Oryzias latipes: one gene and its partners. The protein of the gene in region 5 purifies or fractionates together with the protein of the main gene of each other region. This does not show direct contact. Links are inferred from orthologs where the notes say so. Each region holds a gene or a part of one and is shown on either strand. Other genes may lie near its edges.

Region 1 (3,982 bases), on a different chromosome or scaffold from region 5:
GGTCATACAGCCAGACAGGATCAGAGCAGACAGAGGGCCAACACTCAGACAGGAATAAAACCCCCACCACCACCATTGTCAACAGCAATAGTTCCTCGCGTTCTCCCTTAAAAGTTGTGACACAACGTCCACCCCCATCAGGCTCAGCGCTGCAACACAGACTCAGAAGAGCGGAGCTCAGGTTTTTTCACGTCGTTTCAGTGCAGAAACAAGAGAAAGACACTTGTATAATAAAGGCCACACAAACCAAGCTGCTTTTCTGGGTTTTATTGAAAACATGTCATTGTGCTGTTAAGATTTAGCCATAAAGGATCCCATGCTGCCACCTAGTGGCTGTATAGAGAGCTTCAAAGGGGGACGTGAAGGTGGACCCAGTAACAGACTGATGTTCCTGCATCTGAGCAGTAAAGAGGCGGGCGGGGGAGATCACCGGTTGTAAGGGTGAATGGAACCCGATGCAGACTTGATGTTTGTCTTGATGCTGCTTGGCATTTTTCCTGGACAAAAATAAAGAAATAAAAATGTGTCTCCAATACAAAAAACTTAATACATTTTACCAGTACAGTTTCCTACCTGGCTGACCTTGCTGCTGGGGGGCCCCAGGCCCTCCCATACCTGCTTGCTGGTTTGACCCGCCACCAATAGTGACCTGCTGTAACGTTGGACCTCCGCTCATCATGGGCCCCTGCCCTGGGTGGCCAGGGGCCACAGGGCCAGGAGGTCTACACTTGGAGAGTCCCTTCCCAAAAGCCACAGCTGCTACCAAGGCACTGGTGTCTGTGGGGTTGAAGGACGCTTTGTTCTGCCGCACTGCTGGAAGATAAACACACTCAGCTCTTTCTACAATAAGGACAACAAGGGATTTACACAAACGAGCGACCCACCAGAAGCATCTCCCTCTCTGTCCTCTCGAGGGTTGTTCAGCTTCTCCAGAAGGTTGGAACACAGCTTGTTCAGAGCCTGGATATGCTTCTGTGGATTAGCACAGACAAACACTAAACACCTTCTGAGCACAGACAACAGATAACAAACATCCATGCGCCTCCTGACCTGAGCCAACTCAGGACCAATCCTGACCGCCTCTGCACTCAGCTGCTTCTCCTGCTCTTCCACCTCGGGGTCAGGCTTGGTCCTCAAGTGATCTGGCACAATCTCGTGACTGAACACCGGGACGCGTTGCTCTGTGAGTTTCTGAGGGGGGTGTGGGGGTGGACAGGATAGTTAGAGGTCTTTCACCACACAGGACAGCCTGCAAATGTTGCGGCGACACTCACAGCTAAATCCTCATCCCGGTCAGGAGACAGGAGCAGCGGGATGATGACCTGACTCCGGAAAGCTGGGGTCTTCTCGTTCCTCAGCAGCTTGTTGATGGTGTTCAGCTGACCCGAGAGGAGAGCAAAGTTGTCCAAAACAGATGGCCTGAGGGACAGGAAAGATTTGAGAGGGGGGTGAGAAAACTTTTGCAGGTAAACATGGAGACACAAACACTTTCTAAAAGACGCATGCACACGTACAAATACACGCACGCAAATACAGACACCAATGCTACAACAAGCTGGCAGTTACCATAGATCTGTGTTGGCTTGCTTGTTTTTCTTTAGTTTCGTTTTTTTTTTTCTCTAATTATTATTCTGTTTTTTGACAGAATTGTTGTTTTTTACACAAGTGCAGTGGCGTGCCTGCTAGTCCTTTGGACTATTTATCCCCCACTTTCTGGGTCTGAAGCGGTCTGTGGGTACATCGTCTACACGGTCAGCTGTTGTTGCTTGGCAACAACAACATGCCGCTGGAGAAGCAATCCCAGATCGCAGGAGATACTGAGGAGACTGGGGTTCTCCTGAGTTTTCAGGACTCTTTTTAATGATGGCATTGTTGCGTCTGCCCTCTTCTATGGTTTGAGCTGCTGGAGGTGTGAATGCACAAACAGGAACAAGAAGAGGATCAACAAACTGGAGCGGAGATCCGGCTACGTTCTGGGATGTCTCCTAGAATCGGTAACTGTGGTGGGTGAGAGTAAAATGTTACAGAAACTGAACTCCATCATGGACACTCCTCTTCTTCATCATCATCATCATCCTTTGTATGGGTGTACTGAGCAGCTCCTTTACACCTTGTTGCAGGAAGGAGCACTTTCCCAGATCTTTCTTCCCGTCAGCTATTAGACTCTGCAATGCCTTATAGACATTGGACAAAAATGATTGCTGTTAATTGTTTAAGTGTATTTTTAGTGTTATTAATATATATCTGATGTTTTATTGGAGCTATGGCAACAACAAGGTAATTTCCCCTTTTGTGGGATCAACAAAGATTTATAGTCTAAGTGCGCTCGCGCACACATGCACACGCACGATATGCACTCACTTGTTAACTTCGCATGTTTCCAGGCTTTTATTTATCATAATCAAAGGAGGGGGGATACGTTACGTCATAAGGGCAGGAGGACCCACCATGTCAGACGTTCGTACTCATTCTCCAGCTTGTAGATGAAGCTGCTCAGGGCGTTTTTAACGTGAGCCACCCGGGAGATGAGAGACTCCACCGCCGTCTCCAGCTGCTTCTCCTCCCGCTGCTGAAACACAAAAAGGACGAGCAGAGAGGCCCGGACAGATTACACAGCGCCCGAGCTAGCATCAGTCCAAAGTATCGTCCACAGTAGGTCAGAAGAATCACAGACAACCGAGTGAAATTATTTCAGACTCACTTGCATTGTTGATCTGTCAGCGACCCGGAAGTCTTCTAGGTTGTACTTCCGCTTTGCGCTTTCCAAAAAAAAGAGATGCTTCTTCTTCTCTGGTCAAATCTGACGGTGTGTTTGTGCTCCCTTGTGGCTACAGCAGGTACCCATACCACCCATCCTCTTGTTTTTTTCTTTTCTTTTTTTATTTATTGTTCAATAAATATTTGTTTCTGAGGGTTTTGCACCCTTTAATATTGTTTTCTTTCGTCCAAATTCTCTGTTCCAGGCCAAAATAATGTACTAGAACTGTCCCGTCAGAGTCATTAATCCAGTCTATACTGACTTTTTTAAAATAGAGAATCAACGATGGTGTTGACTAAAAAAAAATGAGAAATTGCAGCAACCAAAGTGAAATTGAAGAGCTGAGAGCAGAATCAGAGGATGAGTCCTGCAGACAGTTGTGAAGGAAGCACAGAGAAGGTGCAGCTTACAGGGAGACAGAGATAAAAGCTCAGAGCAGAAACAATTTAGTCTTCCTGGTATTTATTAAAAACAAATGATATGTTTAGTGTTTTTGTTTCTGTGTGTGATCATGGGTCTTCTGTAACAAGCTGTATATTGTTCTGGTTATCTTTAGTGGAAGCTCCAAATGTCCCAGAATCTTGGCCAACCATTACAAAATCAGTTCTTTTCAAGTTTATGAGTCATCAACATTATCTATTTAGTTCGGCTTTATTATTAACATTCACCGGTCCAGGCATCAGACTAAAATACAAGCCTTATAAAAACAGAGACCTGATTGTTTGGTGCAACCTTGGAGAAGAGCTCTCTGACCTAAGACCTCAAAAGTGTCTCTTAGACTGAATCCTAACACCATTTGACCCAGCAGTGGTCTGGTGAACTGCCCAGGGTGTATCCCACCTTTGCCTTTCAGTAGCTGGGTGGGCTCTAGGACACCCAGCATACTTTTTTTTTATATACATGAATAAAGGTGGTTTAGAAGATGGATCAATGTTTCTAGCAGTGTAAACTCTATATGCAACTGCTATTTTTACTTCAGGATCAGAGTTCAGATAATGTTTGCATGAGCAAATGTCCAACGTGACAAAATAAATTAGCCTGAAGAATCATGCCAGCTGTTCATACACACTTAAGAGTTAATAAAAGACACTCCAGAAAAGTTCAAATAGGACATCCACATTCAACAGGTCTGCACAGTTTCGTTTATTGCTCTGAAATGAGTGTAAAACGGAAACTCTAGAAGTAGTTTTCCACATCGCCTGTTTCCACCACCACCGTCTTCAG
Region 2 (4,221 bases), on a different chromosome or scaffold from region 5:
CAACAAACCACGACAGGAAATAAGAAACTTCACGATTTATCAGTCATTGTGTTTGTTTTGAACTGTTCTTCTGAGCTGTCTTGGTATTTAGACTCATATAAAAACCTAAATGGAATTTAGCAATGTGTTCTTAAATGGCAAAACATACAAAATGTGAAGGTAAATGTAAAAAAAATAAAAAAGTAAGGCAGAGGTTTTTTACGTCATACAAAAAAAAACATCTAAAATGTTGACACTGTGATATGTTTATCAGCTGGTGCCAGTGAACAGACGGAGTGAAGGATGCTGGCGCTGCTCCAGCGTTTGTGACTATAGTCTGTTCTGTTCCGGACTGTTCGGAACCATCCAGAACTCGCTGGCTAACAAATATAAGAGGTTTATGAGCTTATGGAGAAATCTCCTTACGAGGTGTTAAGCAGAACGATGACAAAAACACAACAATAACAGGAGACATGCCTACGTATGCATAGACATGTAATAATACATGTACTCCAATGGAAACGCATGCACTGTGCTAGGCTATGCAATCAGGTTATAGAGAAGAAATACTTTACCGTGGTGGACAAAACAAAGTACAGTACCATCGCCAGCAGTGCTCCGCTGCTCGCTATAGCCCCAACTGTCAACATAACAATTAATGGCCTCATTTTTGACAGCGACTTAAATAAAAATAATAATAAAAAGGCCCCAGTTATCGGAAAAAATCTATTTTGTTCATTGTAAGCGCACGTGACTCATTTCCACCCAGTGTTGTGAAACTCAAGTGGGTGGAGTCAAATGCTTGACAAGACAAGGAGGAAATGACGTATGAGGTTTTTCAAAACAAAAATAAAAATAAAATATAGGTCAAAACGTTCAAAAAAAGGGGGGGGGGTAGGAGATAGAGGTGCACGATATGAGGAAACTCGCGTTCTGCGATATCAATGATCAATATTGCGATGACGATATAACTAGCGATACATGAACAAATAGCAAAACAGCCAAAAGACAGTTTCTATTTCACTGCAACAGTTTAATTTAAAGAAGAGTCAAGATGACGTACTTAAATTATACTCAATGACCCTCGTCTACATTCTAAGATTTTATCTATTTTTATAGATAAAATGTGTCATAATTAAAACATAGAAGGTGATATATTTATTTATTATTAGCAAAATATACTAAGCTTTTTTAAAACCTAAATTCAGTCAGTAAAAAATAAATTTAGAAAGAGATTTTTAATTCTGAAGCAAATTTTTATTTTAATTTATTTTTTTTACCATAAGTAAATTGTCTTCAGATTTACATTTCCAATTAGCCGAAGTTAAAAAAAAATACCGAATAATTAAGAACATTTTATGAAGACTTAATAAATTCGCTCTGAAGATAATAACCTGGAGGACTTTTCTTTAAGAACAGTTTTTTTAAACGTCAACTCGATCAAACGCAATGCATTGTGGTATATAATATTGGCCAAGCCAGGAACCATCGATGCCATCGGATTTTTAGAAGAATATTAGTGATTTAAAAATACGAAAAGGAGAATAAATTGAGAAAGGATGGACGATGAAGAGGAAACTTACCGGCTGTGGAAGATCCGTAAAACAATAATGCAGGTGGATTAAATAAAAGGATATACTAGCTTAGCAGCGAACTAGCTGTTAGCTTCACATGTGGCTCGCGTTAAAGAGTCGCTTTTGACTGCCATTGTTAAAGTTGTAACTAAATCTTTTACGTTTTGTGTGTTAATCTCTTATTCTCAGTGCAAGTCGTTCCAATTACGCGCTCAGACTTTTTTTTTTAATTATTATGTGTAGGAATGATGCATTCGTTAGCCTCGTTTGAACGAAGGCTAACTTTAGCACACCCATGATGACCCATTAAAAAAAGCCAACATGTTTTCGTACATGTAGACTACATGTATGACAACATGAATGCTTCAAATCATTAAATACACTTTCACAAAGTTTGCTGCTAAACTGCTTTTAGATTTTTGTTTCTGTGATGTACTGAAATATAGTTATCAGCTCTTTATTACGTTTAGGCTTTTTTTAATCGACAATAATTATATGACATTTATGCAGAGAGTCAGGTTTTGCAGTGTTGGACTTCCTTTGTCAGCACCCCTGCAATTCGACTGGGCATGCTGTCAATCAACTTTAGGGCCAAATCCTGACCGATAGCAACCCAGATTGATTAAGATCTGGGGAGTTTCCAGGCCGTGGACCCAAAATGTCAACATTTTGGTCCCCGATCCACTTAGTTATCACTTTTGCCTCATGGCACGGTGCGCCATCGTGCTGGAAAATACATTGTTTGACGCCAAACTGTTGTTGGATTGCTGGAAGAAGTTGCTGTTGGAGGGAGTTTTGGCACCATTCTTTATTCATGGCTGTGGTTTTGGAGAAAAATGCGAATGAGCCCACTTCCTTGGATGAGAAGCAACCCCACACATCAAGGGTCTCAGGATGCTTTACTGTTGGCACGACACGGGACAGGTGGTAGCTCTCACCTTTTCTTCTCCGGACAAGCCTTTGTCCAGATGCCCCAAACAATCGGATAGAGGCTTCATGGGAGAATAGGACTTTGCCCCAGTCCCCAGCAGTCCACTCGCCATACTTTTTGCAGAAGATCAATCTGTCCCTGATGTTTGTTTTTGGGGTGGATAAGTGGCCATCTTCTAAAAGTCTCCGCCTCACTGTGCATGCAAATGCGCTCACACCAGCCTGTTGCCATTCCTGAGCAAACTCTGCACTGGTGGCGCTCCGATCCCACAGTTAAAACCCATTAGGAGACGATTCTTGGCACTTGCTGGACTTTCTTGGACGCTCTGAAACCTTGTTAACAAGAATTGAACCTCTTTCCTTGAAGTTTTTGATGATCCTATAAATTGTTGATTTAGGTGCAATCTTAGCTGCCACAATATCCTCGCCTGTGAAGCCATTCTTATGCAACGCGATGATGGCTGCACACGTTTCTTTGCCGGTCAGCATGGTTAACAGTGGCAGAACAATGATTTCAAGCATCACCCTCCTTTTAACATGTCAAGTCTGCCATTCTAACCCAACCGGCCTGACATCATGATCTCCAGTCTTGTGCTCGTCAACATTCTCAACTGAGTTAAAAAGACGATGACTGAAATGATTTTTGGGGGGGGGATTCATTTAATTTTCATGGCAAAGAAGGACTACGCAATTCATCTGATGACTCTTTGTAACATTTTGGAGAACATGCAAATTGCTATTATAAAATCCTAGGCAGCAACTTTTGCAATTTCCAATATTTATGTAATTCTCAAAACCTTTGGCCAACACTATACATATTAAAATGTTGTTTGTTTTTTTTAACCACAGCTCTGCCACGATCGAGGCTATCTGGTAACACAAGATGAGTTGGACCAGACCCTGGAGGAGTTCAAGAGTCAATTCGGAGACAAACCCAGCGAGGGTCGTCCCAGACGGACGGACCTTACAGTCTTGGTCGCACACAACGATGATCCCACTGATCAAATGTTTGTTTTCTTTCCTGGTAGGTTTATACTTGAGAATAATTTGGGAACTCATCCTTTTATCCATAAAATAACCAAAAGTTTAAGTTACACTCCAATCATATTTCGATTTATTTTTAAAGGAGTCCCCAGTGGTATTATATTTATGAATGCTCTGTTTTTAGCCAAATTCATAAAAACCTGTGTGGGCATCACTGTTGGCACGGACGTAAGCCCCTGCTGATATCCCATCATCCCTTTTTTGTTTACACACTCTCCCATTAGATTACATTGACTTTATTAGAGAATTGAGCCATGGTGACGTCGCCTTTCTTCCGGCTCCAGAGAAATGAAGCCAATAGACCCTTTTCATGGTGACGTCAGACAAAACAGAGACATGGGCGCCATTGTGTCACCGTACTTCTGGTTTTAGACGAGCAAAGCTGACAACTGAACGCTGTTTAACACCATTCTATGAGAAGAATACACACTAACCTTACCAATCGCAACGGCACTTTTTACATGATTTATTTTATAAATGTCATATCCAACTGTAGTCAATTTCCTCTTTTAAATCTTTCACAAGTCAAAATACAAATTTAAGTAATCCATCAATATTTAAGGTTCAGTTGAAAATATCAACCTTTCATTTGAGTCTAACAGGTTATATTTTTTTACAGTTTCCTATTCTTTTTATCATTTTTCTTTTTCGCAGATCAGACACAGTTATTGGCAATAGCAAAGAGGTTCAGTGT
Region 3 (3,500 bases), on a different chromosome or scaffold from region 5:
AGTCTAAAGCTAAACTGAATAGTCTGAAGTGATGTAGAGCAGGTATGATGTCACTTCTCACTTGCAGCCTGCAGTGAGCAGGACTCTGAGCCGGGAGCCAGGCTGACCTGCAGGATTCTGCTGCACCTTTTCAAAACACCACAGCGCAACCCTGTCCCTCAAGACGGGGCCAAGTCAGGTAATGAAGCACTAACACACAGATTTTCACTCACTTCTTATCAGAAATGTCAATTCTTTGGTGTTTTTTTTCTTTCTGTTTGCAGACAAATCCATGGTTGGGATCCGGTCGTCCTGTGATCGCCACCTTCTTGCTGCTTCTCAAAACAGCATCGTCGTTGGAGCGGTGTTTGCTGTCCTCAAAGCTGTGTTCATGCTGGGTATGAATCTCTCACTGCATCGTCAAACAAGGACCGTCTTCATTTCAGTTTGCGTTGAGGCTTAGAGAGTGATGGAGTTATCAGAGAAGCAGGTGGGTTTGGTTGAATCATCTTTTCATTTTTCTGCAGGCGATGCTGAGCTTCGAGGTTCGGGTCTGTCACATCCTGCTGGCCTGGATGACATATCTGACAGGCGCAATGTCTCCATAGAAACAGCCAGCTTGGATGTTTACGCCAAGTATGTTCTGAAGACCATCTGTCAGCAGGTGAGGGATGAAAACCCTGTGAAGTTGAAAGGGAAAAAAATGCAAGTTTTTGGGGGATAAATCAATAGAGAGGCCTTTCACCATTGAAGAATGGAAATTTACAATGACTTTCTCAGCAAAATTGAGCTTTATTGTGATTTTATTTCTAAGGAATGATTCTTTACTCTGGGTTTAACAATCAACCAATTTCCAGTTCCGACTGTAGTTCAGATCAGGCGTGGTTAATTATTTTAACTTGCGGGCCACATTGGGTTGTAAAATCCGATAGAAGGGCCGGACCAGGAGCAGATGCGTGGAGTGAGAATGATTTAACATGGAATGCAGATGAAAACATTTATATTGAAAATTATATTCTAAAACAGAATATTCTAGAGTTTTTAGGTTAAAACTTAATTCTTTTTTATTGTGGAGCCCTTTGGTACCTTCAAGGAGTTGTAAAGTGCTACATGAATAAAGTTTCATTCATTCATGATCCTTTTAAAAAAATAAATACCGGTAACTTTATTTATGAAATAAAACAATGACCAAATAACACTATGATTTTCAAAGACAAAAATTCAGGAAAAATAAACTGATACATTAAAAACAAAACACAAAAAAACACAATAAATAATGGATCCTCTCCCGTCATAATCATAATAAAGGCTTTGAGGGCTGCAGGTCATCACATCTCAGTTTTCGCAGCTGCGTTGTGTTCTGCACGTCTGTTTCTCATCCAGTAATAATGAAAAAGCAAATGCCTATGTCTTCTGCTGCAGCTACGTATATTTCTGCGTTACCTTTTCACCAGAACAGAGTTCCCTGTTTATTGCAGGAGTTACGTTCTAAAAATAACCGCTATCGTTGAAATCCATGGAGGATGATTACAGACGTTTATGCCAGTAAAACTCCTCACTGCCTAAATACACTTTTCTCACACAGACATGAACATTTTCACCATTTTTTCTTGTTTAAATTCTCAAACCTTCATAGAAATTAAGTCCAGGATCTTAAAATGAAAACAAAGATCTGATCAATCACAGATTTCTGTAGATCTGAAGAGCTCCGCGTTTCTGTATAGGAGACACGGAATGGAGGAGATTGATTGACAAGGTCTCCAGCCAATCAGGACACAAAACAGGGTGCGCTGTTTAAAAAAAGCCGCATAATCGCTCTAAAAGAATGAGCTGAACCGGGAAAGATGAACTGCGACGTAGAAAGGAAAGACTGTCTTCTGTTCTAATTGACAGAGATTTTAGAGGGTTTCAGGTTGGAGGACAGACTGCAGAAGGAGGGAAAAAATGTCACGTCTTGATCGTGTGGTCAGATAAAAAAACAAACAAACATGGGTCTCTGACATTGTTCAGTGGGCCGGACCAAACATGGAGGCGGGCCGGATCCAGCCCGCGGGCCGCAGTTTGCCCACCCCTGGTTTAGGGGTAGTTTCTGTTGGTTAAATGTCTCACGGCCCTCTTGTGTCCGTCTGTAGGAATGGGTCGGGGAGCGCTGCCTAAAGTCTCTGTCTGAAGACAGCAGTGCTCTGCAGGACCCGGTTCTGGGGAACATTCAGGCTCAACGGCTGCTGCAGCTGATCTGCTATCCTCACCGGCAGCTGGACAGCGATGAAGGAGAAAACCCCCAGCTGCAGCGAATCAAACGCATCCTTCAGGTACAGGAGAGAGGTGTTTTTCAACCAAACGGTTGGATCGGCTTCATTAAACTTCAGCTGCAACTGTTGCGCTGCCACCTTGTGGATGAATAAGTTACTGAAAACCCTACAAACCTCCATGATAAATACGAAATATGTAAAAAGGATTGTTTCTTTTGTGTAGAATATGGACCAGTGGACGATGAGACAGTCGTGTCTGGAGCTTCAGCTGATGATCAAACAGAGCAGCAACAATGTGATTAACTTTTTTCGTTTTCCAAATACTTTTTCAGCTTTCTATTTTTTGTTATTGTTGAGAAAATGTGTTTGTTTTTCCCCCCCTTTGTCTAGGAGCTGTATTCTCTGCTGGAAAACATAGCTAAAGCCACTATAGAAGTTTTCCAAAAGTCAGCTGAGATGAACTCCAGTAACCCCTCAGGAAATGGAACAGCAGCACACGGAGGCTCTGCATCCAACAGCAACAGCACCACAAGCAAAATTAAACCTATTTTAAGGTGGGGATTCATGAAAACTCATAGGAAATATTGTATGTGTACCTTTTGGGTTTGAATCTTCCCGCAGATTGGTTTCCAAATGCTTGAGTTTACTGATGTCTGATAATGATTGTTGCAGCTCATCGGAGCGGTCAGGCGTTTGGCTAGTGGCTCCACTGATAGCAAAGCTGCCCACCTCAGTTCAGGGTCATGTGCTTAAGGCAGCAGGAGAGGAGCTGGAGAAAGGACAGCACCTCGGCTCGTCCTCACGCAAAGAGAGGGACCGGCAGAAGCAAAAAAGGTGGGGGTCAAACTCTTTATTTTGATGCCAAGCCCAGTTTTTAGTCCTTTGAGAAATCCCCGTCCCTTCTCCCTGCAGTATGTCTCTGCTGAGCCAGCAGCCGTTCCTGTCTCTGGTGCTGACCTGCTTGAAGGGGCAGGATGAACAGAGAGAAGGCCTCCTCACCTCACTTTACAGCCAAGTGCAGCAGATTGTGACCAACTGGAGGGAAGATCAGTATCAGGATGACTGCAAAGCCAAGCAGATGATGCACGAGGCGCTGAAACTACGACTAAACCTGGTAAGCATCCTCCCAAAACAAAACTTTGATTGGGCTAAATCTGCTGTGAAGTTAACCACACGTATCTTCATTTGAAAGGGTTTCAATGGCTCTGACTGTTTTGTCTTTTTTAAGGTCGGCGGCATGTTTGACACGGTGCAGCGTAGCACCCAGCA
Region 4 (4,275 bases), on a different chromosome or scaffold from region 5:
ATCTCTCTTTGTAATTACACGGTGACGTTCTCTTCTTTTGCTGAGATTTTTTGATCATGGTTCCCTTCAAAATCACCCGAGGAAACATGGTTAGCAGTTGAGAATAACACCACTGGAGACACTGGGTGGTATTGGACGGAGTAACTGAAAGCCTCTGACTGCAGGGGGGAAAAAAAAGGGAGAATGCAAACATTGAAGATGCCGAAGAGTTTCCGGCGTGGGTTAGTTGCATGCAGTAAACCACATCCTTGTGGCAACACTCTGTGCAAGCAATCACACACTGATGTGCACACAAATACACACACGTATCATCACGTATGTTGTGTTAAACTCAATAAAGGTTTTTTTTTTAACATGAACCTTTGATGTACTATTGATCAAATTTTGCATAAAAATGTAAGCTTTTTGTCAGAATTGCTTGGTTGTTAAACAAAAATGTTTTAGAAAACAATTTAAATTTTCATATTAAATCAAAAGCTAAAAACAAAAATAACACTGTTAATCAATACCTAAGAAGCCATAGCTGGGGTTTTTTTTCGGAATTTTTAAATTTTCTTTTTTCTTCATTTAAAAGAAACTCTCCGCTTGTATCAAAATTGTAGTAAAAAAGTACTACTGAAGGAAAACTTAAAAATGAAAAAAATGCAATTTTTAAAAATGTAAAATGCATGATAAGTTATATCCTACAAACACTAAGAATGTCAAGGTTTCATGAATCACTAAATGCAGAAAACAGCAAAAGAGAAAAGTCTGGTTTCTAAGAAAAATGTATCCAAATACAATATGGAACCTTTGATGTACTTTTCATGAGGCTATGTTTTCTTTGGGGTTAGAAAGATTCTTATTTTTCTTTTCAATTTTGGTTCAAATACGATGTTCTTGTTTTGTTTTGCACACTCCGAAGCACAACCTTTGCCCTCTGCTAAATATTCACTAGGCCTATGACAACGTTTATAAAATAAAATGTTACATGTCATTCTTATTTAGTGTCAGGGTCAAGATGAAGTCAGCTTACTTATAATAGTTTGACCATTTTTATTTAAGTGTAAAAAAAAGAAAAAGAATGAATATTAGGTGTTGCTAATTGACTAAGTAGAAAATGAAACATAAAATTCAAAGTTAGACACTTTCACCTGCCCTACTGTATTTAGGGCGTAAAAACAAATGATAGATACATTTTTAAAATTAGAGTCCCCCTCCCCCCCCTTTTTTATGGTTACAGATCTGAACTTTTTTTGCTTGGGTTTGATTTCTTAAGCAGCTTATTTTAAGAACATATTTTAAGATTTATAGGCCTACCAGGATCAGAACCTGAACTCACTATATTAAACAAACAAAAACTAACAAAAAGTTTAAAACAATTAATACAGGAAAGAGATTAGTTTTGAATAAAACCCACTAATTATAAGGTTAATAATGAAATACTTTAAAGGCTTGTCGACGCAACCAATCAACGTCGAGTTTGTTTCCGGGTCACTGTCCAATCCTGGCATCTGAAACTCAACCGGGAAATGAATAAAGCGAAGCTAGTCAGGAGCTAACTGGCTAGAAGAATTTTCATCTAAACTCAACCAATTGAGTCGTTAAACAGGTTTGTACAATAATCAGTTATAAATGTAACCCTTTTATTCGTGTTACAGACCTGTTTCTTTGACTGTAGAGACTGTATTATTCAGCAGATGCAGGAAACGACGTTTGTTGTTAGCCAAACATCAACGGAGCGGTTTTATTAATTAGGTTTTTGTAATAACTTTTACTGTTAGTTAGTATATACGTGGGCTTTTATGTGGTATCTAAATGCACTACGGCGGAATAATTCGAGATTTGTTACGTTAGGTTTGACTTTGACATAGTTCTCAAAATGAATCGTGATGATCATGTGTGTGTCTGTTGTCGACTTGTCCGCCTTCTTACTTAGAAAACAGGTTTAGCTATGTGATGTGTGAACATTATCTGTTGTTGTACTTCTTGTGAGCACGTGTAAAATCCTAAAAAAAACGCGTGGGAAAAAATACTTTTATTGGTTGGAGCGGTTAACGACTCGTTTGGCTACGGTAAACTCTGATCGTGGCAATCTTCAAGTTAAAACATGCACCGACCATATGACATATCCTTCTCTGATTTGAATGTTGTTTTCTTTCCTTCAATAACAATGATACAAAGTGTTGAAAACAGACATCAACAAATATGCATTTTGTAAAAGCTGTGTTTTTTTTAATGTATAGAATGTGCATGTATGCACTTCTCTTTACTAAAATCCACAATTTGACTTGTTTTTGACCCTCATTTGTTCTCTTCTTACATCAGGATGGCTTTTCTTTAAACATTTTTTTAAACTCTGCAGTTTTTTTTTTATTTATTTTTTAATTTTGAATATAAAATCTACTAATTCAGTTGTATTTGCTAAATTGATAGCAGAACAATTATAAGGTTATGTGCACAACAAATAAGCATTTTGAAAAAATGGTGTTAAATCACACAGAAAAAAATCATATTCTTTAACAAGTACAATCTGATAGGGGGGATAGTGATAGATAATATAAATTTAAACATGTTTCAATTGAATAAAAACTGTTTTCTTATAGATAAAGGAATTATAATAATTTGGATTTTTAGTTACCGGTAAGTAGCACAGACAATTTGTTTCAATTAAAAAAACATGAGGATGTAAAGAAGTTTAGGAATCAATCAAAAATCTGTTTAATTGTCCCACAGGTAACTATAATGCAATGGAAGCTGTCACATCTTTATGCCATTTTCCACAGCATTTAGAAATGGCTTTATTGATTAATTATTTTTGGTATTGTAAAACTGATTATGGAAACCTGTATAAGTCTTTTCTCACAATTTTAAAAAAATGTTTCACTTAAAAATTCCTCTACATTTTCTTTAATCTTTTGAAAAATATATTGTAAAACAATGTATTATTGAATAAGTATCTGTAACAGAAACTATAGTAAACCGTGTTAAAATAATTATAACGTTTGTGGATGCATATACAAAACTAGTAATATTAGGCTAAGTGTCAACATTGTACATCTGTTCCTGTGTCTGTTGGTTAATCTGCATTTAATACTTATCTACTCTAACCTAAAAACATGTATATGTTTAAGCTCCACAGATGCATGTTCTTCTTGGTTGTCGCTCTTGCCTCACAGCAAGAAGGCCCCCAGTTCAAGTCCCAGCTGGGGGACCTGAAACAGAATCACCACTGGGGGACCTTTCTCTGTGGCGTTTGCGTGATCCCCTGGTTTTTCTCCAGGGACTCCAGCTCCCTCCCACCGTCCAAAAACAAGCTTCATAAGTTAATTGGTTACTAAATTCTCCCTAGGTGTGAGTGTGCATGGGTGTGTGAACGTGGCTCTGCTACAGACTGGCGAACTGTCCATGATGTCCCCTGCCTTTGCTGAGATAGGCTCCGGCAGCCCCGTGACCCTGAAAGGGACAAAAACGGGTTTAGAAAATGAATAAATAAGGATATTTTTTCTTGAAAGTTATTATTTTGGCACATTAAAAAGGCATAGTTTTGACAAAGTGCTATCATGACTGTGACTTTACTGACTGGAGAAAGCGTTTATGCAAGAGGTAGCTGATGCCATCACCCAGAACATATGAGGGGGTCATTAAAGATTGTTTTACTTCATATAAGTGAGACCCGTGAACTCGCCACAACAGTGGGATCTTATCAGGTGCATGACTGTGTATTTGTTGTTTGGATTCTTTCTAACTTGTAGTTCTATTTATTTTATAATTTTTAGGTCTGCAAAATGGGTGAACCACAGCAGGTCAGCGCACTGCCTCCACCGCCCATGCAGTACATCAAGGAGTATACAGATGAAAACATTCGCAAAGGTCTGGTGCCAAAGCCGCCTCCGCCCATCAGAGACAGCTACATGATGTTTGGCAATCAGTTTCAGTGCGACGACCTTATTATTCGGCCTCTGGAGAGCCAAGGCATCGAGAGGCTGCATCCTATGCAGTTTGACCACAAACGGGAGCTCAAGAAGCTGAACATGTCCATTCTCGTAAACTTTCTGGACCTTTTAGACATCCTTATCAAAAGTCCTGGTAATATTAAACGCGAAGAGAAGATGGAGGACATAAAGCTTTTGTTTGTTCACATGCATCATCTGATCAACGAGTACAGGCCGCACCAAGCCAGGGAGACTCTGAGGGTGATGATGGAGGTGCAGAAGAGGCAGAGGTTGGAGACGGCGGAGAGATTCCAAAAACACCTGGAGAGAGTCGTGGAGATGATCCAAGGGTGTCTTGCTT
Region 5 (2,630 bases):
GCTGTTCGAATGAAAATACATGTTTATAACACATCATTTATTGAGACATTCTGAAATTAAATGGACTTATATATAAAAAGAGCTAACAGCCTGAATAATTATTCATTAGGACTCCATTGTTTGCACAAATGATAACCATGGCACAATAACAGAGAAGGAAAACAATTAGACTAGGAGGCAGTGCAGCACATATAATTAGAGGCTATTTAGTAGATATCAACAGATGTAATATTTGGCCCATTAGAGACAATATCATTTATGATTAAAATCAAACTTTGTTTAGAGAAAAATGCTGATTCACATTAAATTAGATTTACTTTGCATGTTGTGAAAAGGAACTACATAAAGTTATGTGAAAGTGTGTGCCGTGGCAAATGCTTTCCTTTATTTAAAAACCTTTTAGATTCAGACTAAATGGTCTGCTCAATAAAGCATCAAAGCCCTTATACATTTATTATTAATAATAATAATAATAATAATAATAATGAAAACAAGTAAAACACTATAGCACGATTTAATTTATTAAAAATAGAGATTTACAACTTGAAATAATAACAGATACTTCAGAAACAGAGCAGATCATTCACACTGATGCAAACAAAAAAGAAAAACAAAAGTCCCATTTTTCATTTCAGGTTTTTTTTTAAATGGTAAACCGTAGAAATAAACGTCTTTGCTCAAGTCTCCAGTTTGTAGTCTGTTGTCTCACGACGCCTTAGGCACATCAAACATGCACAGTCCCTTGTACTTCTGCAGCAGCTGGTTCTTGGTGCGGACCTGCTCCCGCAGCGTGGCCAGCTGCTGCTGCTGCTCCGGCGGACTGCAGTCTATCCCAGACATGTTAGAGATCTGCTCCCGGGTTTCTTGGATCTTTGTTTTTAGTTTTGTCAGCTCCTGGTTGACATCCGGGCTGTCCTTATCCATGCTAAGCAGAAACATAAATAAATAAATAAATACATAAATAACAGACTTCTATTAAAGGCAAAACTGCACCCATGATGGGAAGCGTTCACGTCACTTCTCATATAGCAAACCGTAAATACCCCCAACGAGAGTTTACCGTGAACCATTTAGTAAATACCAACATATACGTAAACCCAGCACACAGGAAACAGCTTACCATTTGATAATGTCGTGAACTAAGGGCAGCAAAGAGCAGTCTTCGGTCTCCTTCACGAGCTTAGCCTGAGCTACCGCCATTGCTACTCCTTCTGCAACTGGCGCAGGCTGATGACGTCACAGGTTACTCCGAGAATCTCAACTGAAATCACAACTTTAAAAAAGTTCAATTGATGTTGAACAACAACAACAACAACAATGATTATAGATGAATGAGTGAATGATTGATTGAATGAATAAATGAATGAATGAATGAATGAATGAATACTCTAGTTATCAAAAGTATGAAAAAAATGATTACCTTGAGATGGTAAGTCATATAAGTCATGGTATGATTCCCAAACTATTAAAAAGTCTTGACACAAAACAAGAAATAACAAAGAAAAATTTGCTGTAATAAATTTCAAACACAAGAAAAAAGATCTAAAAGATTTGGGACTGATTTCTTTCTGATAAAGCCCTTGCAATTCTCGTGGCATGTCATCATTTTGCTCAGAATAGGTCCCAGACCTATTCCAAGGTTGCTCGGGCATCAAGTCCGGGTGCCTCCTGTACGCCTCTCTGGGGAGGTGTTGCGGGCATGTCCCACTATGCGGAGGCCCCGGGGAAGACCCAGGACACGCTGGAGAAACTACGTCTCTCGGCTGGCCTGGGAACACCTTGGGGTCCCTCCCAGAAGAGCTGGAGGAAGTAGCAGGGGCGAGGGAAGTCTGGGCATCTTTGCTTAGACTGCCCCCGTGACCCAGTCCCGGTAAAGCAGAGTAAGATGGATGGATGGATGGATGGAGGTCACAGACCATTTGTCAATGCACATAATAAACACATGACCTAGGACTTGGAATGACCTTGGCTACACGTCTTGCTACTTGGTAACCTGAAGTACTGACATCGAAAGTCAACACAAGACATGCTTGAGAACTGAAAAATGGGGAGCTGTGTAAACACTAGAGCTCATAGCAAGCACAAATATAGTCTCACGGTGCGTCACGCAATTTGTCTGTTTGGAAGATAAATGAAGTGTTTCATTCAGGTCGTGCATCTCTGTCTGGAAACCCTTTTTCCTTTTCTGTTTACACAGTGCGTCCTTGTTGATTGGGGATACAATATTTAGTATGTAGAAAATAAAACAAAATAATGAAAAGCTTACTTCCTGGTTATTTTCTAAAGCCCTGTTTGGCAATACATTAGGCAACACGGAGAATTAAAATGGCTAATTTGCTCAATTCTTTGTTAGTACAAGTGACTACACGATTATGCATGTGTAGCAATGACGATTCTCCTGTTTGATGTTGAATTATGTGTTTTATTTTTAAATGTATTCTTTTTAGCCCAAATAACTCATGTTTACATCCATTTCACATGAAATCAAGTTTGACCTCTTGATGCAGCGAACATCCCATGAGTTCATTACTCACACCTGGTGAACACAGAAAGGGAAAAACTCAGTCTCCCCTGGAGAAGATAGAATGCCAACGTGACACAGGCAGTGAGCATTAAATTAAGTGTGAGGC
Region 6 (3,500 bases), on a different chromosome or scaffold from region 5:
CCTCTCCTGTCCAGTTCTACAAGGTCAGTTTGGTTACAGCCATTAAAGCTATTACCTGTTCTTCTTCTCAACTTTGTTTGACTGTGTATTCAGGTGGTGGTTAGTGTTGTGAGTGAGAAGTGTCGCATTGACACAGAGCTGTTACCATCCCTGTTTCTGCGCTGCACTACCGATCCAATGAGGAGGGACAAATACCCAGCTGTCACACACCTGAAATTCCTGACCAGAGAGAACTCTGAGCAGGTAATTATCCTCACAACTTCTGGTACCACGAAGCCTGCTGCCGTTTGAGCGCTTGTCTGTGTTCTAGGTTCTGCTGTGTGCATCCAATCAGACTGGCAGCATTGTGGAATGCTGGTCTCTTAGAAAGGAAGGTCTTCCTGTCAACAACATCTTCCAGCACAGATCCCCAGTTGGTCAGAAAAACTTCCAGTCAAGCAGATCTAGACTCTGTTTCTTATCATTTGGATCCTCTGACCTCAGACTTCCTGGTTTCAGTGGGTGAAAAGCAGCCAACCATCCTGAAGTGGCGGATTCTGACAACCACCGGCGACCTAGAGAGAGTGTCTGCTGTTGCTCTTCCCAAACTGCCTATCGCCATATCCAACACTGACCTCAAGGTTGCACCAGACACCAAGTTTTGTCCAGGTCTTGGTGAGTAGAACCCAAAACCACTAGAACCTTACCTTAGCGGTAGAACTCCAGTAAGGCTGCTATAGACCCCTTGCACACCTCCGTGAACACCCTCTCCGTTATTTTGGAAGTCAAATGGTGGGAGTAAGACTAAGACCATTGCTGCTGCAGAGCTTTGTCGTGTTGATCTTTTGTGGTGTCCGCTCTACTGTCTGTCTTTGATCTGTTCCGTCTGTGTTGTTGGCAAGAAAATAAAGAGCTGGAAGGTCTGTTACAGTTCAGAACTGACGGCTGGTGTCTCTTCTTACCCAGCGTACCTAGATATGTATTTCTTTTAAGACAATTCAAATGTGTAACCAACAGTCTACCTGACGCAAAGTGTTCACTGCAGAGTCTGCTGGCATCTGTAGGCCGACAACCTTCCTGTTTGACTGTTTGACAGTGGACCACGAAGAGATTTGGTTGCTATTACTAAAGTTGCTGATTTTACCCGTTGGATGTACCAAAAATAATGAATGGTTGACTTCCAAAATGGCGGACACCTGGTGTCTGCTCGACGTCACTGCAAGGGATCTATAGTGACAATAAATTTGCCCGTTGAACAGTTGAGGGAACTCTATGGCAGAGAGCATTTTCATTGCTTTACTAAACTTTGTCTGTTCTCTTGATTTTCAGGTCTGGCTCTGGCTTTTCATGATGGCAGTATTCAGATCCATCATCGCCTCTCCCTTCATTTCATGGGGATTTACTACAGCTCCTCCTCCTCTGGTCCACGGCCCGGAGACGAAGCAACCTTGAAACGCCAAAGAACTTCAGGTCCTTTCCTCCACTTTAAAGCCTTGCAGTTCTCTTGGACATCATTAGCTTTGGTTGGAATTGACAACTACGGCAAGGTGAGTTCCGTGATGCTAGATTCTGGTGATAGCTTTAGCTATGTTAAGTCTAATTGACATTTTTCTGTTACACACATACACATGCAGTAAGTACTGAAATGTATTCCACAACTGTCCAACAGAGAGCAAGCCTAAGAGCAGTACGGTTAAAAAAAGGATAAAACGTTTAGGTGACTTTGCAGAAAAAACATTTATTACAATTTTGTAGCCTTCTATAGACAACAATGACAGTGTTATGGTCACAAAAGTGGAAAGTGCTCCAAAATGTTCAAAACTTATAGAGTGCCAACATTGTGCAGAGATTGTGTAGAGTTGTGCAGTTTTCTTTTTGACCAATCAGATAGACGCCTTCATGTTGTTGACCAATCGGATAGACAGACACCTTCACGTTGTTCACCAATTAGATGGAGCCATTTTATGTTAGATGCTTGCCTCCGATGTAGACGAGGGTCATTTGGAATGTTTGAGTTGTGTTCAATATTATTTAAATCAAACTGTTGCAGTGAAATGGAATTGATGTGTTTTTGGCTGTTTTGCTATTTCTTCATGTATCGCAAGTTATATCGTCATTGCAATATTGATCATTAATATCGCCTATGGTAAGTATTCCTCTTATTGAGCAGCCCTATCAGGAAGTAAAAGTTGTAGCTGAATTTCTTTGAATTTGTACCGTTGGACTCACTGGGCTGGTGGGAACTATGGGGTCAGGAATCTGTCAATAAGAAACATATTCATAAAGGCAAAGTTGTGCACAATGTGTTGTGAAAAAAATATGAACACAACATTAAGTTTCTCGTGTGACAAGTCTGTCCTGAACACGATTTGCCTTTGCTTTAAATTTGACTGCTTTTCTTGAATACCAAATTTCCCAGGTAACAAACTATCAAGAAGGGTGTATACATCGAATCGAAACATCGATTGTTCAAATTTGTGCATGCGTCTTGAAATGTATTTATTAATCTAAAATAAAATAGAATCTTTTAGAATATAATTGATCCATTACTGAGAAATTATGTTTTAACCATTGCTCTGTTGGGTCCTGGGAATAGACTCGCCCCTTCTCTTCCATGCCCCGACTGGGGGGGGACAGGAATCTCTCCGTCAGCATCCAACAGCAGAGAGGCGGGGATCAGCCGTTTTCTTATTTCATCTCATCATTCTCTTACTATCATCTATTTTTCGATGAACATGGACTTTTATAAGCTTAATCGGCTCTAATCTCCAAGTAACCTGCTGGTTTTTTCCCACCAGTCCTGGGTCCGGTGCATTGTTTATGCAATCAGCTGTTGTCGCATGGTAATAAATAAAATGCGGCAGGACGGAAATGGCTGTTAATAACGTTTTTTTAGTTAACAGAGCAATTGTATTGAGATAATTGCCCTTTCAGGGGATCAATAAGATTCTAAAATGTTCTATTTTATTTTAGTTTAATAAATAAACTTCTAGATGCATGCATAAATTTGAACAGTCAATGTTTTGGGAATCCATGTTAATGCCCCTTTGACCCCGTGACGGATTTTTGACAGTTTGTTAACAGGAGAAATTTCAAATTCAAGACAAGCAAGAGTCTTATCCAAAACCGACATGTCAAACGTAAAACTAAATGTTTTATTCATACTTGTTGTTTTTTTTTGCAAAGTTACGCTCTTATTATGAATTTGTGCACAACTTTGTCTTATGAATATGTTTCTTATTGACCGATTCCTTCACCCATAGCAAAATTCTTTATTTAATCTTCATAGATCGAGTTCTGAGACTGTAGATCCCCAGTAACCAGATAAACAGCAGTATTCTTTTTTTTAAAGCAAACTTCTTTAAAAAAAGATTTTGTAACCGAAGGTCTTTGAAAATAATCTAAAATGTATCAATGGGCATAATGATTAATTACAGTTAATCACATGATGTTATGTAATGAAGCACAATTCGTATTCTTTGTAATTGCTGAGGAATATTTAAAATACTAAAAGTTGCTTA
Region 7 (3,957 bases), on a different chromosome or scaffold from region 5:
TTTGCAGGTGGAAGAAGAACCCTCCATTGTTTATTCCTTAATTGCCTTTAGAACCCCTGCAAAGACCAATGGCCGTGAATTAGCCCACAATGAAACCATTTACAGTGAAATAAAATTCACAAAAAGCAGTTTGGATAGGTTGAGCAGGTAATTGTTGCGATATTTTAGCAGTTCTGAAGTTGCCTTAACATGGATTCTGTTTTGTGAGTTGAAGTAAACTTCACCCTACAAGGTCCAAAATGGAAACCCTTAGAAGGGTTTTTTCCATTGTGTCAGAAAATGAATAACTGCTTGCTAATTATCTTTATGAAATATAGCATTGCTTTGTGTCTGTACCTGATACTGTCAGCAAGTGCTTTGAAAACAGAAAACAAGTTCCTTTAAATTATTCTGAACCATTATTTTTTCTGACACAAATTTTGTTAAATATTTTTTCTTTAAAGGCTTCGGAATCCGTCAAAACACAGTTTTTATATCTTTATTATTTTATGTGTAAAATATGCATCTGATGGAATGTTTGTCATTTACTTTAAAAGGTTAAGCACAAATCTTAAAAAAGTTTGTGAACCTCAATCAGCCAAAAACTATAGCAGCATGTCTGAATTTTAAATGTTTTATTCAATGTTTTAAAAAGAAAATATTTAACAAAAACTAATTGTAAAAATATTGTAATTGTTGTGAAGACAGCATCTGAGTTTTAAAAAAAAGGCCCACAGAGCTAGGCTTTTATTTTTTTATGTGCCAGCAATTACTATTACAACATTTTCGGTATGAAATCTACATATATATTTTTATTATTTTTAAATATGTGCAAGGTTTTCAAATACATTTAGTTACTTATCTGCACTGATAATAGTTTCAATTTTTAGAGCACGTTTTGGTTTGTGAGTGTTTTTGTAAATCAAATGACTTGAAGTTGATTTTTAAAAAAATGTTATTTATGGATTGTATTTTTAAAGTAACCCCTGTTTGGGTTACTGTAATTGATCCTTTTTCTACATTGCTAAAATTTAAGTTCAATAAGTGTATTCAACGTGTACTTATTGTTTTATCATTTGCCTAAATACCTGTTTGCGCGGAAAAAGCTAACACAGAAAGTTGCTTCCATGAATGGTTATATTCCGGGGTTTCAGTAGGTGGCAGTAACGAGCTTTAAACTGGATTGAAAGCGCCTTTTAAAAACAAAAGCCAAGGAAGAACTTGGGCGCCTTTGTTTTCTGATTAGCATCAAATTTTGGTTGTTTTTAGAACGGGTTACAATATATATTTCATTAACACTTTTTTTATTTTTTAAGTTAAGTACGAATGCCTTAAATTACTTTGTTGATGACAGTAACAGCTCAAATCGTGAGTTGGTAATTCCATGTAGGCTAACTGTTAACTGGTACTAGCAGCCGTGTGGATATTAGCTAACCGGTGAAACAGGGGGCCCACCGTGGAAACCAACCACAAACAGCAAAAATATCTTAACTTTAGTCAGTTCTAACGCTGCGCCGAACTCTTTATTCTGCTCAGGTAAACCATCTTACTCTGTAGTGAGAAACGTCTACTGCTTTTGCTAGTTAGCATAAGCCTGCTATTGGTAGTTGTATTTGTTCGCTAATTTAGCTAACAACTGTTTTCTGTTTACTCATTCATTCATTGGTAATGTCACTCACATGTATCATCAAACAACTGCAAATGAAATAGAGTAGTCCAACAACACTTTGCAAAAAGTAGCCTATTTAGTTTACTACATGTATAATTGGCTAGTGGGACGATATACTTGAAGTAAACTTTTAAACACAATCTAGTATTGCTAAATTCAAAACATAAAATGTTCCAATTTAGTCTGAAGAAGTTTTCAGTCAGTTAATACTTCTTTCACAATATACACATGGTCTATCGTACACTTGTACTTATTCTCACGTGTCCTCAATGAAATAAACTTCAAGTGTAGTACTTTTTGCTAAGTGAATGACAATGCCATCATTCACTATTACTTTAAATCAGGAAGAAGATGGAAGCTCCTCCTGTCACAGTTATGCCCGTCACCGGCGGTGCCATCAACATGATGGAATATCTGTTACAAGGTGAGACGATTCAGATATAGAAGGTTCAACCAGAGATATAGAGGCTTGATATATTTACAGATAAAACGGTGTATTTTTCCAGAATACATATATTAGAAGCCAGTATGAAGTTCACTGGCTAAATTATTTGAAAAATAATGTTTACATCTTCATTCTGTTGCTAAAACCAACTTCTATCCATTAATATTAGTCTTTAAAAAAAAACTATTAAGTTGAGCTAATTATTTTTCCATCATGAGTGTTGGTGTAGCATTAAAGAGCAAACCACACTGTCAAGAGTGTGGAAAGAGTGCTCAGTTACTTTCTGTCTTGAAAATAATATATATTTCTAAGGTTTTCCTGTCCTGTTTGTGCTGCACTTTACTGGACACATTTGTATTTAGTAAACTGAAGTATTTAAGATTATATAGATGCATAAAGATTTATGGAAAAATAATCCTCAAGTCAGGAAAGCTTTTTTTAAATTTTTTTATTCATGAAACCTGTTATTCATGTTTTCATCACATCTGAAGTGTTTATTGAAACTGTGTTTGTAAAAAAAAGAGATCTAAAACGAACACTAATTTTAACATTGAACATTTTTTAATTTCATGATGGAGGATTATATGTTTAATATTCATTTTTAAAAAGTTGTATCACAGCAGGAAATAATTATAGTGGGAGTAAAGAACTTACTATATGAGTCTTTAAAGGATATTCTATTTTCTCGTTTTTTTCAGGCAGTGTTTTGGATCAGGCTCTGGAAAGCCTCCTGCATCGCCTGCGTGGTCTCTGTGACAACATGGAACCAGAGACTTTCACCGACCACGAGCTGGTTTACCTTTTGAAAGGCCAGCAAGGCAACCCCTTCATTCTGCGTGCCAGACGCTCCCTCTCCCACCCTACTTCTCCATGGCACCTGCGGTATCTAGGCCAGCCAGAAGTGGGAGACAAGAGCCGCCATGCTCTGGTTCGCAACTGTGTCGATGTAGCTGCCTCTCAAAGCCTTCCGGAGTTCCTCAATGAGATGGGCTTTCGCATGGACCATGAGTTTGTGGCCAGTGGTCACATATTTCGCAAAGGAGCAATGAAAGTTGTGGTTAGCAAGGTTTCACGCATCCTAGTACCAGGGAACACGGAAAATACAGAGCGAATGTCGCTGTCGTATTTAGTGGAACTGAGCATTTTGGCTCCGGCCGGACAGGACACCGTGTCAGAAGACATGCGCAGCTTTGCCGAGCAGCTCAAACCTCTGATTCATCTGGAGAAGATTGACCCAAGCAAGCAGAGACATTAAGCATTAATGGAAAAAAATGTTTTTGTTATTGTTTTCCTTTCCATTTAAATGCTTTTTAATGTGATGAAATACAGATTTACTTTGCTTAAACTGTTACAGTTGTGGTTAATCTGACCTGTCAGAGTATTTTTTTAATTTATTTTTTACTTTTTGTGCCTACTATAAAGAAAATATTATAGTAACAAATAGCTGGAAAATACTTAAATATATTTTAAGTTGACAAACATTTTGCAATGCCTCAGATGGCTTATGTTATTGCTTTAAAAATTTTTTTTTAAATCTTCAATTTCATTTTTTTATATAATAAATGTCCACCAGGGGTCTCTCTTTCCACAAGGATGGTCTTAATTGGAGCAAAGTGAACGCTACCTCTCATCATCTACAGGAGCTCTGGTTGCCATGGAAATAATTAGCTGTGCGATCTGCACATCGTTTACCCCACTCTAATTAGCTTTCTCAATTGCTTAATGATACATAGACCTGTGAAAGCCTTTCTTTCTTCCTTTCCACAAAAGCATTGATTTTCCCTCTCTTCCCCTTTCATTTCTACTGTTAACCCATTAGTATCCTTTCTTTTTTTCATGGGAACTTGAGCTGGGACTATTACAA

The links.
Region 1: the proteins of med9 (region 5) and med8 purify together in Homo sapiens (affinity purification with mass spectrometry; 5 studies listed by BioGRID and IntAct, with this or other methods). This does not show direct contact. The link is inferred for Oryzias latipes from reciprocal best matches to the Homo sapiens genes MED9 and MED8.
Region 2: the proteins of med9 (region 5) and polr2e purify together in Homo sapiens (affinity purification with mass spectrometry; 4 studies listed by BioGRID and IntAct, with this or other methods). This does not show direct contact. The link is inferred for Oryzias latipes from reciprocal best matches to the Homo sapiens genes MED9 and POLR2E.
Region 3: the proteins of med9 (region 5) and med12 purify together in Homo sapiens (affinity purification with mass spectrometry; 6 studies listed by BioGRID and IntAct, with this or other methods). This does not show direct contact. The link is inferred for Oryzias latipes from reciprocal best matches to the Homo sapiens genes MED9 and MED12.
Region 4: the proteins of med9 (region 5) and med7 purify together in Homo sapiens (affinity purification with mass spectrometry; 5 studies listed by BioGRID and IntAct, counting the BioPlex papers as one, with this or other methods). This does not show direct contact. The link is inferred for Oryzias latipes from reciprocal best matches to the Homo sapiens genes MED9 and MED7.
Region 6: the proteins of med9 (region 5) and med16 purify together in Homo sapiens (affinity purification with mass spectrometry; 5 studies listed by BioGRID and IntAct, with this or other methods). This does not show direct contact. The link is inferred for Oryzias latipes from reciprocal best matches to the Homo sapiens genes MED9 and MED16.
Region 7: the proteins of med9 (region 5) and med18 purify together in Homo sapiens (affinity purification with mass spectrometry; 6 studies listed by BioGRID and IntAct, counting the BioPlex papers as one, with this or other methods). This does not show direct contact. The link is inferred for Oryzias latipes from reciprocal best matches to the Homo sapiens genes MED9 and MED18.

Annotation. Positions count from the first base shown.
Region 1 is NC_019862.2:24,741,087-24,745,068, reverse strand, and holds med8 (mediator of RNA polymerase II transcription subunit 8), read right to left. Parts: upstream 2,801-3,982; 5' UTR 2,708-2,800; coding exon 2,702-2,707; intron 2,570-2,701; coding exon 2,448-2,569; intron 1,420-2,447; coding exon 1,275-1,419; intron 1,192-1,274; coding exon 1,051-1,191; intron 973-1,050; coding exon 885-972; intron 814-884; coding exon 574-813; intron 498-573; coding exon 427-497; 3' UTR 253-426; downstream 1-252. UniProt on the Homo sapiens protein: Component of the Mediator complex, a coactivator involved in the regulated transcription of nearly all RNA polymerase II-dependent genes.
Region 2 is NC_019862.2:26,974,570-26,978,790, forward strand, and holds the start of polr2e (DNA-directed RNA polymerases I, II, and III subunit RPABC1), read left to right. Parts: upstream 1-1,421; 5' UTR 1,422-1,538; coding exon 1,539-1,595; intron 1,596-3,332; coding exon 3,333-3,507; intron 3,508-4,221. UniProt on the Homo sapiens protein: DNA-dependent RNA polymerase catalyzes the transcription of DNA into RNA using the four ribonucleoside triphosphates as substrates.
Region 3 is NC_019868.2:8,263,262-8,266,761, forward strand, and holds part of med12 (mediator of RNA polymerase II transcription subunit 12), read left to right. Parts: intron 1-67; coding exon 68-178; intron 179-263; coding exon 264-377; intron 378-506; coding exon 507-643; intron 644-2,111; coding exon 2,112-2,291; intron 2,292-2,454; coding exon 2,455-2,526; intron 2,527-2,621; coding exon 2,622-2,785; intron 2,786-2,903; coding exon 2,904-3,065; intron 3,066-3,143; coding exon 3,144-3,345; intron 3,346-3,459; coding exon 3,460-3,500. UniProt on the Homo sapiens protein: Component of the Mediator complex, a coactivator involved in the regulated transcription of nearly all RNA polymerase II-dependent genes.
Region 4 is NC_019868.2:21,185,906-21,190,180, reverse strand, and holds the start of med7 (mediator of RNA polymerase II transcription subunit 7), read left to right. Parts: upstream 1-1,475; 5' UTR 1,476-1,591; intron 1,592-3,758; 5' UTR 3,759-3,767; coding exon 3,768-4,275. Other genes in the region: itk (tyrosine-protein kinase ITK/TSK), read right to left, coding at 1-88. UniProt on the Homo sapiens protein: Component of the Mediator complex, a coactivator involved in the regulated transcription of nearly all RNA polymerase II-dependent genes.
Region 5 is NC_019866.2:10,874,976-10,877,605, reverse strand, and holds med9 (mediator of RNA polymerase II transcription subunit 9), read right to left. Parts: upstream 1,253-2,630; 5' UTR 1,201-1,252; coding exon 1,121-1,200; intron 926-1,120; coding exon 706-925; 3' UTR 501-705; downstream 1-500.
Region 6 is NC_019862.2:1,609,767-1,613,266, forward strand, and holds part of med16 (mediator of RNA polymerase II transcription subunit 16), read left to right. Parts: coding exon 1-23; intron 24-93; coding exon 94-243; intron 244-310; coding exon 311-416; intron 417-498; coding exon 499-654; intron 655-1,308; coding exon 1,309-1,526; intron 1,527-3,500. UniProt on the Homo sapiens protein: Component of the Mediator complex, a coactivator involved in the regulated transcription of nearly all RNA polymerase II-dependent genes.
Region 7 is NC_019874.2:22,764,196-22,768,152, reverse strand, and holds med18 (mediator of RNA polymerase II transcription subunit 18), read left to right. Parts: upstream 1-1,158; 5' UTR 1,159-1,515; intron 1,516-1,992; 5' UTR 1,993-1,999; coding exon 2,000-2,072; intron 2,073-2,791; coding exon 2,792-3,348; 3' UTR 3,349-3,457; downstream 3,458-3,957. UniProt on the Homo sapiens protein: Component of the Mediator complex, a coactivator involved in the regulated transcription of nearly all RNA polymerase II-dependent genes.